Nothobranchius furzeri: one gene and its partners. The protein of the gene in region 3 binds, or shares a complex with, the protein of the main gene of each other region. Links are inferred from orthologs where the notes say so. Each region holds a gene or a part of one and is shown on either strand. Other genes may lie near its edges.

Evidence for each region.
Region 1: the proteins of tbc1d23 (region 3) and fam91a1 are in contact, whole or in part, in a crystal structure (PDB 8JJ9), measured with the Homo sapiens proteins. The link is inferred for Nothobranchius furzeri from reciprocal best matches to the Homo sapiens genes TBC1D23 and FAM91A1. Residues at the interface, in NP_001186127.1 of Homo sapiens: Arg533, His534, Val535, Ser536, Ser537, Asp539, Val541, Gly542, Lys543, Pro544, Tyr545, Arg546, Val548, Pro550, Val551, Phe552; in NP_659400.3 of Homo sapiens: Arg49, Glu60, Arg61, Tyr64, Asp84, Ile85, Lys88, Gly89, Leu90, Arg91, Ile92, Thr93, Phe95, Ser96, Ile159, Pro161, Tyr176, Ile177, Thr178, Glu179, Asp181, Ile182, Lys190, Asp194, Ile197, Asp198, Tyr216, Asn217, Lys218, Gly219.
Region 2: the proteins of tbc1d23 (region 3) and stx16 are in contact, whole or in part, in a crystal structure (PDB 8QQF), measured with the Homo sapiens proteins. The link is inferred for Nothobranchius furzeri from reciprocal best matches to the Homo sapiens genes TBC1D23 and STX16. Residues at the interface, in NP_001186127.1 of Homo sapiens: Leu638, Asn639, Ser640, Val641, Val642, Lys643, Ile644, Thr645, Ser646, Lys647, Lys648, Ser661, Ser662, Ala663, Ile666, Thr683, Lys687, Ile690, Met691; in NP_001001433.1 of Homo sapiens: Asp209, Asp210, Asn211, Thr212, Leu213, Tyr214, His215, Arg216, Phe218, Thr219, Glu220.

What each region holds. Positions count from the first base shown.
Region 1 is NC_091759.1:177,172-180,819, reverse strand, and holds part of fam91a1 (protein FAM91A1), read left to right. Parts: intron 1-153; coding exon 154-266; intron 267-340; coding exon 341-450; intron 451-748; coding exon 749-861; intron 862-949; coding exon 950-1,036; intron 1,037-2,250; coding exon 2,251-2,380; intron 2,381-3,648. UniProt on the Homo sapiens protein: As component of the WDR11 complex acts together with TBC1D23 to facilitate the golgin-mediated capture of vesicles generated using AP-1.
Region 2 is NC_091743.1:50,492,008-50,496,180, reverse strand, and holds the start of stx16 (syntaxin-16), read left to right. Parts: upstream 1-1,335; 5' UTR 1,336-1,538; coding exon 1,539-1,664; intron 1,665-3,396; exon of another isoform or gene 3,397-3,610; coding exon 3,611-3,622; intron 3,623-3,749; coding exon 3,750-3,857; intron 3,858-4,173. UniProt on the Homo sapiens protein: SNARE involved in vesicular transport from the late endosomes to the trans-Golgi network.
Region 3 is NC_091756.1:62,664,327-62,667,974, reverse strand, and holds part of tbc1d23 (TBC1 domain family member 23), read left to right. Parts: coding exon 1-86; intron 87-271; coding exon 272-316; intron 317-966; coding exon 967-1,055; intron 1,056-1,134; coding exon 1,135-1,270; intron 1,271-1,404; coding exon 1,405-1,599; intron 1,600-3,648. UniProt on the Homo sapiens protein: Putative Rab GTPase-activating protein which plays a role in vesicular trafficking. Involved in endosome-to-Golgi trafficking.

The DNA of each region.
Region 1 (3,648 bases), on a different chromosome or scaffold from region 3:
AAATTGTTGTTTTCAAATATCTAAAATATATCAAAACCAAAAAGTAAGAAAAGGGTAAGTTGGCCTTTTGTTAATAATCTGTATTTTGGGGTTTCATTCTGATGGGGTTCACTTGGGATTGAGCGTCGTTTATCCTTGTTTCCGTTCAATCAGAACGCCGTCTCCATGTACTGTCGCCTCGGCTTTGCTGTGAAGAAAGGTCAGGTGTTCAGCTCCGATCAGCTGCACCCCAGCTGGAAGAACGCTCCGTCTGTAAACAGACTCAGGTACGTTCCTGTCCACCAATCAGCTAATTTTACAACTCCACTTGTGCTGTTTTGATGTTTTGGGTCTGCTGCAGGAGCACCATGGACCCCCAGAAGATGCTGCTGTCCTGGGAGCAGGGCAGCCCCGTGATGGAGGCAGGCTCCTCAGCCACAGACACCGACACCACCAGCCTGGAAGACCAAGGTCTCTCCACGGTCCACATGCCGGTTCTGCAGCGTGTGCAGATAATTATGCATGCTGATACGTGCACACGGGGCACTTTCTGATTGCTACTTCAGAAGGTTTGAGGCAGCACCGCTAATTAATGCCCAGGAAAGCCAAATTTTAGGTGGATGGGGTTGTTTGTGAAGTAGAATTTATTTCAACACATCCACTAATTCATCTTTAATTGAGTCCTTACATTTACTTTAGCATGCAACAATGGAGCTGCAATCAGCTGCTAACATATGACTGCTTTATGTGTTTTTTAACGTCTTTGTAGCTGAGACGGGCAGCGTCAGCAGCCTGAGCATCCCTGCTGCTCCCACCAAGAGGATCGCCTTCCTCTTTGACTCCACACTCACAGCCTTCCTCATGATGGGAAACCTGTCTCCGGTCAGTGACCTCGTGTGGACTCCCGCCAAGTCTCATAACCAGAATTGAACAAAAAATTTTTTATTTATTTATTTTTTTGTCCCATCAGAACCTGAAGAGCCATGCGGTCACCATGTTCGAGGTGGGTAAGCTGTCTGATGAGACCCTTGACAGCTTCCTGGCTGAGTTAGAGAAGGTGAGTTGAGCTGTCACTAGAGCCTCACCTGGTGTCGTTCTTTGCTTTTAAAGGGGACGTATTATGCAAAACTCGCTATTTGCTTCCTTTTTGCTGCCATGTGGATCTCTACTGCCTCTATATATACTCCGAATGAGTAAAATCCCATCCATCTGTTTTGTGTCAGTCAGTGCGTTTACAGTCAGTGTTAGAAAACCAAATGATTGACTTGGTCCGGCTGAAGTGGAACTGAACTGGACTACTTCCAATAGAGCTAAAGTACCCAGATAATGTGGTTAGGAAACCAAATTTCTCTTCATGTCGACAACATCCCAGCTTAAGCCGGGCGTACACTGTGTGACTTTTTCACTTTTTTGAGCCGATTTTCCACTCGTGCGAGAATCCACGAGATCGGGGCGAGTTTTGCGCCGAGCGTCGTGTAGTGTACAGGCGGTTACGAGAGGCGATTAACACCACATGATCAGCTACCGATCAGCAGTCGTGAGGTCGCACGGACTTCTGGCGTGTTTAATATTTCGCTCGTCCCTCGTGAGGGTATCGCACTGTTGAAGCGGCGCTGCGAGCAGCTGCGACCCAAAAAGTATCAGAACCGCTCACAGCGCATGCGCAATCCTGCGTCAACACCGCTCGCTATTTCCCTAATAACACACGCTGTTCGTTTTTGTTTCTACACGTTTTTTTACTCATAAAGATTGTCAAGAAAGCGTGTTTGTCGTGTTCATGTCAAATTAAACTGATCACAAAACACAGATTTACTTTCTTTATTTCGTTTTCCTCATCCAACCCCCATAAATCCCCGTGTGTCCTCCTGCAGCACTCCCGAAGGACAACAGGCAAGACAAGACAAAAAAGTCTGACGTGTTGAGTAAAAACTGCTACTTTTAGCACATTTTTAGGGCCGACGTGTTGCTACCAGACGTACAGTGTGAGCAGTCAGGTCGCATGCGAGAACTGGGTCGTGCAGTGTGAGCACACGACTCGTGAGATCTGCCCTGCGAGGAAGTCGTACAGTTTGAGCTGAAGCTGAACGCTGCGAGTGAAAAAGTCGCACAGTGTCCGCCCGGCTTTAGCCAAGCTGTGACCTGCCCAGGCCCTCCCCCTTCTGGTGGTTATGAGACCACTGAAGCCATTCATTAACGTATTTTTTTCTACTTTAAAACTAAAGAGTAATATGTTCCCTTTAAAACACAAAAAAGATGATATTTTTTTCTCAGGTGGAGAGCACGGCTGAGGGTGAGGCCCAACGTTACTTCGATCACGCTCTGACCCTTAAAAACACCATCCTCTTCCTGCGTTACAACAAAGAGCTCACTCAGGATCAAGGACCCGATATTCCAAATATAGGTAACTACTTGTGCACAAAATCCCAACACCTGAGCCGGCACCTCTGTCCCCCACACACGGTTTCTTGTGTTGTAACATCATTTGTTCTAAAACCCTCGGAGGTTTTTAGCTTTTCAAAAACACTTTTCAAACCTGAACATGATACCGACGAGACTGCAGTTGAAGAAGCCAGCTGGGAGGTCGTAACCTAAGACAAACGGCTACATTTGCAATCAGACGACGGCCCTTCAAATTTTGCACGTCTAACACATAAAGATTCTCGTTTTTCATTTCAAATGATTCATGCCCGTATTAATAAGCGACAGCTCTTCGCCATGTGCAGACCTCCTTCTCAGATGTTTCAATGCAATTCGACAGAACGGAAATAACATTTTTAAAGGTGCTGCTGGGCGTTTTTAGTGTCTGCAGAAGTGCTGATAACATTTTATAATCATTAGAAATTATGTGGCATGTTGTGGTAAAAACATTTATGTGAAAAGCTTTTATTTTCTACCCTGACTCTGTTACTAACGAGGCATTCTGAGCTGTCATTACCACACTTGTTGTAAACAACCATTGTAAATGTTCCCATTCAACCCGCTTAGTGGTCGTAGAAAGTCAATAAGTAATTAAAAGCTGGGAATTCATCTGGAAGCAACAAAAGAGGAAGTGGATTTGTGTGAACATATCTCTGTGTCGCTCAGAGATTCTCCCTGGATCTGTATTTTTTACTAATCACGCTCATATAAATGACTAAAAGCAAACCTGAGGTGTTTATCTTGTGTCTCGAGGTTCCCCAGCGCAGAAAATGTCCTGCAGCACAGAATAAAGCAACTCTTACGTGTTTCTGTTGAGCTGCCGTTGCGCCACCAGATGCTGTTTGTTTGCTTTGGCTTCCTGCCTCGTCTCTGATTGTCTTTGTGTCTCAGACGTCCTCAAGCTGGTGTTCTGCAACAGATGAACCTGCCGGCTGAAGCTAAACCCAGCCTCCGATGCTTCAGTTGTCTTTTTTTCATTATTCATTCCATTAATGAAGGTTTTTTGCGCCCCCCCCCCCCCCCCCCCCCTTACAGATTTGTCCTGGTTTTGCTTTTGTCACATTTAACTCATTCACTGCCAGAGTTTCTCACCATTTTTACAGTTTTTTTAAGAGTCACATAACGTTGCGCGCTAGGATGATGTCGACGCCAAAACAACCAAAACAAAGCGTAGACTCACCTCTTACATCAGGAAGAATCCGCACATTTCGAGCGTTATCCGTTCCTTCAGAATCTGTTGTGGAATTGTGA
Region 2 (4,173 bases), on a different chromosome or scaffold from region 3:
CTGCTGAATTACCTTTGGTTGTTTTATTTCTATTTCCATTCTGTCAGCTCTCTGCCTGAGTTCAGTATGTGTTCTTTACAACCCCTTAATGCCTGGCAGCTCCTTATCAGATTCATATGTATAATTATACATGTTTAGACTTGTGCTCAATGTCACAAATGTTCTTCTCTTTCCAAGGGATTTCTTCTCCATTAACAATTACCCCAGGATTTTCTTTGAAATCAAAATACCCTGACTCTGCTTGTTTTCACATTCACTCTCACACCCTGTTGCTTTTTTTGCTTTTAGGTCAGGGCTGTATGGACTACTATAAACCTCTTTTACATTCAAGAGAAAGAAAATGTCAAATCCATCCATCCATTCTCTTTTGCATATCCAGGGTCGGGTCACGGTGACAGCAGCCTAAGCAGAGAGGCCCAGACTTCCCTCTCTGGGATAATCCTAAGGCCAAGAGACGTACTCTCTCCAGCGTGTCCTGGGTCTTCGTTTGGGTCTCCTCCCAGTTGGACCCGCCCAGAAAAGCTCACCAGGGAGGCGTCCAGGAGGCAACTGCCTCCTCTCGATGTGGAGGAGCAGCAGATCTACTCCGAGCCCCTCCGGAATGACTGTGCTTCTCACACTATCTCTAAGGGAAAGCCCAACCACCTTACAGAGAAATTTCTTTTGGCCGCTTGTATCTGTGCTTTCAAACACATTTTCAAATAAATAACTACTTTGTTGCACAAGCATTCTTACTTAAAATTATTGTGTGTTTAATTTAACACACAATAGGGGGCTGAAACAAACATAAAAGTTATGATTACACACCAAATAAAAACACAGCTATTTAAATTATTATAATTATTTCTATAGTTGGCTGAGTCAATAACCAAAAGACATTAATCAAAAAGGTGTTGATCCTCTTGAACTATAATTTTTTACTCTGTTCAGCTTAAACATGTTTTAAAAATTTAGCGATCGATCTTGATATATTTTATTGATTTCCTTTGTCTGTGAGGTGTCACTACTAAATAAAAAAGTTTACATCGGAAAATAAACTGAGTCTCACGAGGAGACAATAAATTAACAAAAATACAACAAAATTAGAAAACAAAATAGCATAGACTCACATTGAATAAATAATAAATCACAAATATAATGGATTTTCTGAGGCAGTGGGGGGCGATAACATGCTCCATTGCTGATGACAGTGCGGCTAATAAATCGTAGAAGAAGCGCTTTACGCCCGCAGATGTTTACGTTAGCACTTCCGTAGCTCCTTGTAAGCGGAATAACGTTACCAGTTGGATTTCAAATCAACCTTTTTCATGAAATTCTCGGTTTTATCCAGCGTTCACTACTTCAGGACTAAACATGCTTAACAAATCATTGTGACTCAGCTCGATTGAAGTCCACAGCATCCGTTTTATCGCGAGTTTTCCCTCATTCATCGCAGGTGAAGCTAAGTCCGCTGCGGCGTTAGTGGACGTTATTTAGCTAAATTTATCATTTGACCTGCACTTTGTCCTGGGTTAATTTAAAATTCAAGCAAGCCAGTCATGGCCACTAGGCGTCTGACCGATGCCTTCTTGTTAATGCGGAACAATGCGATCCAAAACCGGCAGATTTTGGCTGAGCAAGTGAGTACAAACGAGCCCCGTCTGAGTACACGTAGCAATGCTGCGGTGAGTGGTCTGCTTCGTTCTGACATTTTACTGTGTGTGTTTGCATGTAGCCAGTCACCGAGCCCCCCTAGCTAGACCCACCAGTGTTCTAATAGCTGACCTATAATAATCTGAACGGATTATGGGCTGTCAGTGTTTATGTGGCCTCTAGTTTCACCTCAGAAGAGATGGATGAGTCCTTCAGGTGATGAGGAAGAGGAGGACAGATTTCCTGCTGCAGAAAACATCTTTTATAGATTACTTACAGGAAAAATAACTTTAAATAGTAACTAAAATAAGGTGCTGAAGACATAAAGAGTATGTTACTTATTAGTAGAACGTGTGCTGTGGTTTATTTTAGATTAAAATGTCTGTGACATGCATCTGAAGCGGATATATTATTAATCTTAAGTAAGTTCCGGGATCTTTTCATTCACACTATTTATCTGAAGTAACCGTCTCCCAGATCAACTCACACATGGAGACAAAACAATAACACTTGGGGGTGCAAACAAAAACAAACCAGATCTAATTAGTCCAAATCACCACAGAAATTAACCAAGAGTTTAAATAAGATCAAAAACTTGTAAAAAAAATATGCATCTAATCAACTTATTTTTAACCTTGAAATACTACCTCGCTACATGTAAAATCATAAAAATAGAAAAAGCAAAGCTGAGCCAAAATACTCAAAAGTTGACATTCTTTTCCTGCTGTTGATAAAAACATTCTTTAATGTCATTTTGTTAGCACAATCGGGTCCTTGTCTGTGAAAATAACAAGCCTGTTGGAGAGACTGGCGTCAGAAAGGACTAACATGCAAAAATTCATTTAGTAGATTTTCTGTAAATGGTTTCTTGCTGGATGTTGAAAATACAGCTTAAGTCATGCTAGAAGCTCAGAGCTGTAGTCAACACGTAACCATTCACGTTCTGCTGTGAATATTTGTAGATGTATGTGTTTCTCAGATATCACACACATATGAGAAAGTCCTTTCAGTTTAAAGGCTTCCATTTACCAGAGAAAAATCAGAAATTTAACATTTAATACTCAGTTTTTCCAGATCTGACAACTATTATGGTAGTTGTTTTGCTGTTAGAAGTAAAAAAACAAACAAACATTTTTTCAAAGCCAGTGAATTTTAAAGAGCAAGTCACCCCCAAATCAATAATTTTTTTCTGATAAACTATATAAATGTGTGTCTAATCGTGCTACAGACACGTGTAGTCAGTAGTTTTGCACTTTAGTGCATGTTAGTTAAAATTTTAATTTTCTGCCTGAAACTGTCAGAGTTGTGCCGTTGTCAGGTAAAAACTCTTCACTGCATTTGAATTTAAATCTGCCACCGCTATTGGCTAAGAGGTATGCTGTGATGTAAACTGGTACATTATGATGTCACAATGTCGTGAGTGTGTGTATTTGTTAGTGGCTCCACCCTCTCGGCCTGCTAGGCAACAGCATTTGTTGCATTTTTCAAACATGAATTGGGAGTGATATGCTTCTTGTAAGGGGTGACTTGCTCTTTAAGTACCGGTAGTCAAAATTGTGCATTAACACCAGAAAATGGTCTAGAAAGCAACAGTTCTATTTGTTTAAAATCCAAATACTTTCACACAAGAGACGTAATCATCCAAAATGGATTGTTAGGATTTTAATTAATGAATTAAATAATCTATTTTTAACTTTTCATCAGCTAATCCAGTCTGGATTACTTTTTCTAATTTTGCTGCTGCTCACACAAAATGATTTAGGAGTTTCGATGTGTCAGAGTTTCTGTACTTACACTAGCTGTTCATATGTGAATACTGTTGATCTGACATTAGCTTCAGTTGCTAGGAGTGAATACAGAAACCCTGTTTTGGGGGGATTGCTGCTGATTTTCGGGGTCTTAATCTGTTGTTCCTTTTATTTCCTGTCTTCGTGTTTCTGTGCTGGCTGGAAACTCTGCTCTCTGACAATCACATTAGGAGCTTGATGAGGTACTGTTAGTTCTCTTCACGTCACAATCTAATAACTCCTGCTGGAGGCATAACATCTAGGATCATGGTCACACTGTTATCTTGTTATATAAAACACTTCAATGTAATTATTTTTGTTTTATTTGAGATGGCTGATGACCGCATGGCTCTGGTGTCCGGCCTCAGTCTGGATCCTGAAGCTGCCATTGGTGTCACTAAAAAACTGCCTCCCAAATGGATAGACGGGGTCGATGAGGTAAAATGCAACATTTGTGTCCATTCAGAAAAATGTTTCCAACAGAAAATGAACTGAATACATTCTGTTAGCAGATCTCAAACCACCGTCTTGTGGTACAAGTGCTTTCTCTAGTGGTGCCAAAGAGAAATGCTAAAATCTTACCAGGTGCATTTCTCTATTGGGAGTCGTAACTGTGTGTCATGGATTTTATCAATATGTTTATCAATAACCCATTTCCTGTAGTCGAAGAGAAAAAGAAAACAATGAACAGACAAGTCAAACAGTTATAACTGTGGCATAATGCACGAGACGAAATGCCCTGAACATCTGGTCC
Region 3 (3,648 bases):
ATGACATTTGCTCTCAAGTCCAAGTCTGTCAACGTGAAGGAGAAGATGATCAGCTTCATCGAGAACACCTCCACCCCTGTAGAACGGTAGGGACCCGCTCCCCTTCTGAACTTCATGTTTAGAGCTCTTCCTGTACCACTCACCCGTGGGTTTAATAGGAGTTTAAACCGGACTGAACTGGGCTGTCATTATTCTGATTGTTAAAAATAATACCACAGCTTCGTTGTAATGCAAGACAAAATAAAGTCCCCTGTGCCTTATTCCACACTAGAATAACTTTCAATCTGCCCTGGCCAGAGAAGGTGGTCCAAGATCGGTAAGAGCTCCCAAACATTGAGTCATTCCTCACCAGCATGCCCACTGGCTTTAGATTTGCACCGGTCCTCTTTTCTACATGAAAGCATGTCTCGTAGCAGCATCTTCCTAATCCGCTCACTCATAACAGCAGCAGCAGCACACTTTCCACACGCCGAGAGCAGCCTGTGTCTACGGTCTTTGTTTCATGCTTTCACTAACAACATGTGGAGCTGCTGCAACATGCAAGTACTCATCCGTACATCCTGACGTCCCTAAGGCTGTGGTCTAGTTCTCTTTTTAAAAACGAAACAAGTGGCTGAGAAGCTCTAGGACACGCCTGGCCTTTGCCTTTGAGATGCTCTAAACTGTCTTTCCATTTCATTGTTGTTTGCTGACGTGACAGCCAGGGCTGAACACAACGTTAGAAACGCTGCAGTTTGCTGCATGTGGCCCGGAATATCATACAAGTACTAATGTGTTGATTCTGACGTGAACTAAAAGTGTCTCCTCTTGTGTTTACCAGCATAATCTGTAGTGGGCTCATGATTTTCACTGCAGCCTGAGCTCTCCGTGTCATTGCCGTTTGTCTGCAAGCTCACACTGGTTTTTAACCATCTCAGCTCCCTACACCGTACCAGTAATGCTGATAACTGCCTTTGTCGTAAACAGACACGTGAGCAGCAGCGACCGAGTCGGCAAACCTTACAGAGGGGTGAAGCCCGTCTTCAGTATTGGTGATGAAGAGGAGTATGACACTGGTGAAGAACCAGTACAGTTGGAAATGTGCCCGTTCGGCTTTTTGTGAAACCAGTTGACGGGATTTTTTATGTTTCCCAGATGAGATCGACAGCTCTTCCATGTCGGACGATGACAGGAAGGAGATCGTAAACATTCAGACCTGGATAAGCAAGCCGGATGTCAAACATCACATCCCATGTAATGAGGTGAAAGAGACGGGTCACATGTTCCCCAGGTGAGCTGCTCAACTTCCTGTTGGTGTGGAATTAGGAAGAAAGCTAACAGGAAGCTCTGACACGTCTTTCAGCTTCTGTTAGACTTGAGGAAGTGGGAAATCTCTTGTCTCTTGAAATCTCGTCTCTATTTCAGTCACTTGCTGATCACAGCGACTCACATGTACTGCCTGAGGGAGATTGCCTCCAGGAAGGGATTTGCCTACATCCAGTCCAGACAAGCGCTGAGCTCTGTGGTGAAGATCACCTCTAAAAAGAAGCACCCTGAGCTCATCACATTCAAATTTGGGAGCAACAATTCAGCTGGAGTCGAGATTTCTGCAGTTGAGAGGTGCTCATAGATAAACACAAGCAGTATTGGAATTGTTTTTATTTAATGATGTTTTATATTTTCTAAGGAGTTTCTCCCACTGAGAGGTGTCGAGCAGGGGCGGTCGTACTAGTTGTCCCCCATCTTGGTTCCCGTACGTTGGGGTTTACCCTGGTGAATGAGAGGGTAGCCTCCCACTGCCTAAGTGGGGGGGGACGGGTTCTGACTGTGGTCTGTGCTTATGCACCAAACTACAGTTCAGACTACCCACCCTTAGAGGGGGTGCTGGAGAGCGCTCCTTCCGGTGACTCCCTCGTTCTGCTGGGGGACTTTAACGCTCTCGTGGGCACCGACAGTGAGACCTGGAGAGGTGTGGTTGGGAGGAACGGCCCCCCCGATCTGAATTTGAGTGGTGTTTTGTTATTGGACTTCTGTACCAGTCATGGATTGTCCATAATGAACACCATGTTCAGACATAAAGGTGTCCATATGTGCTCTTGGCACCAGGATACCTTAGGCCGCAGCTCGATGATCGACTTTGTTGTTGTTTCATCTGATCTGCGGTGGCATGTCTTGGACACTCGGGTGAAGAGAGGGGCGGAGCTGTCAGCTGACCACTACCTGGTGGTGAGTTGGCTCAGATGGTGGGGGAGGATGCCGGTCAGACCAGGCAGGCCCAAACTTATTGCGAGGGTCTGCTGGGAATGTCTGGCAGAGTTTCCAGAAGGACCTTTAATTCCCACCTCCGACAGAACTTCCAAAATGTTCTGGGGGGAGGCGGGGGACAATGAGTCCGAATGGGCCCTGTTCCATGCCTCCATTGTTGAGACGGCCGACCGGAGCTGTGGCTGCAGGGTCGTTGGTGCCTGTCATGGCGGCAACCCCCGAACCCGCCGGTGGACATCGATGGTTAGGGATGCTGTCAAGCTGAAGAAAGAGTCCTATCGGGCCTTTTTTGCCAGTGGGACTCCAGAGGCAGCTGATTGGTGAGACCATGGAGCAAGACTTCCGCACGGCTTCGAGGAGCTTCTGGTCCACCGTCCGGCGCCTTGGGAGGGGATAGCTGTGCGCTACCAACACTATTTATAGTAGGGACGGTGTGCTGCTGACCTCTACTCAAGACGATGTGGATCGGTGAGCGGAATACTTTAAAGACCTCCTCAATTCCACCGACATGTCTTCCATTGAGGAAGCAGAGTCCGAGGACTTTGGGTTGGACTTTCTAATCTCTGGGGCTGAGGTCACTAAGGTTGCCAATAAACTTCTTGGTGGAAAGGCTCTGGGGGTGGATGAGATCCGCCCGGAGTTCCTTAAGGCTCTGGGTGTCGTAGGGCTGTTTTGGGTGATGCGGCTCTGCAGTATCACACGGACATCGGCAACAGTTTCACTGGAATGGCAGACTGGGGTGGTGGTCCCCCTACCGCAGAGTGAGTTCCAACTACAGGGGGATCACACACCTGAGCCTCCCTAGTAAGGTCTATTCAGGGTTCTGGAGAGGAGGGTCCGTCGGATTGTTGAACCTCAGATTCAGGAGGAGCAATGTGGTTTTGCAGGTTCGAGCCCCGCTCAGTTTGTCGCTGTCGTTGAGTCCTTGGGCAAGACACTTAACCCCCCTTGCCTGCTGGTGGTGGTCGAAGAGACCGATGGTGCCAGAGCTCGGCAGCTTTGCCTCTGTCAGTGCACCCCAGCTGCAGCTGTGGCTACATCGTAGCTCATCCCCACCAGCGTGTGAATGGGTGAATGACTGATTGTGTTGTAAAGCGCCTTGGGGGGTTCCAGGGCTCCAGAAGGAGCTATATCAAATACAGGCCATTTACCATTTACCATTTCTGTTTTGGTGGCCTGAGGATCAGGTCTCTTTTTGCAGATGATGTGGTCCTGTTGGCTTCATCAGAACGTGATCTTCAGCTTTCGCTGGAGCGGTTTGCAGCCGAGTGTGAAGCAGCTGGGATGAGAATCAGCTCCTCTAAATCTGAGACCATGGTCTTGATTCAGAAAAGGGTAGAATGCCTTCTCCGGGTCAGGGATGAGGTCCTGCCCCAAGTGGAGGAGTTTAAGTATCTCGGGGTC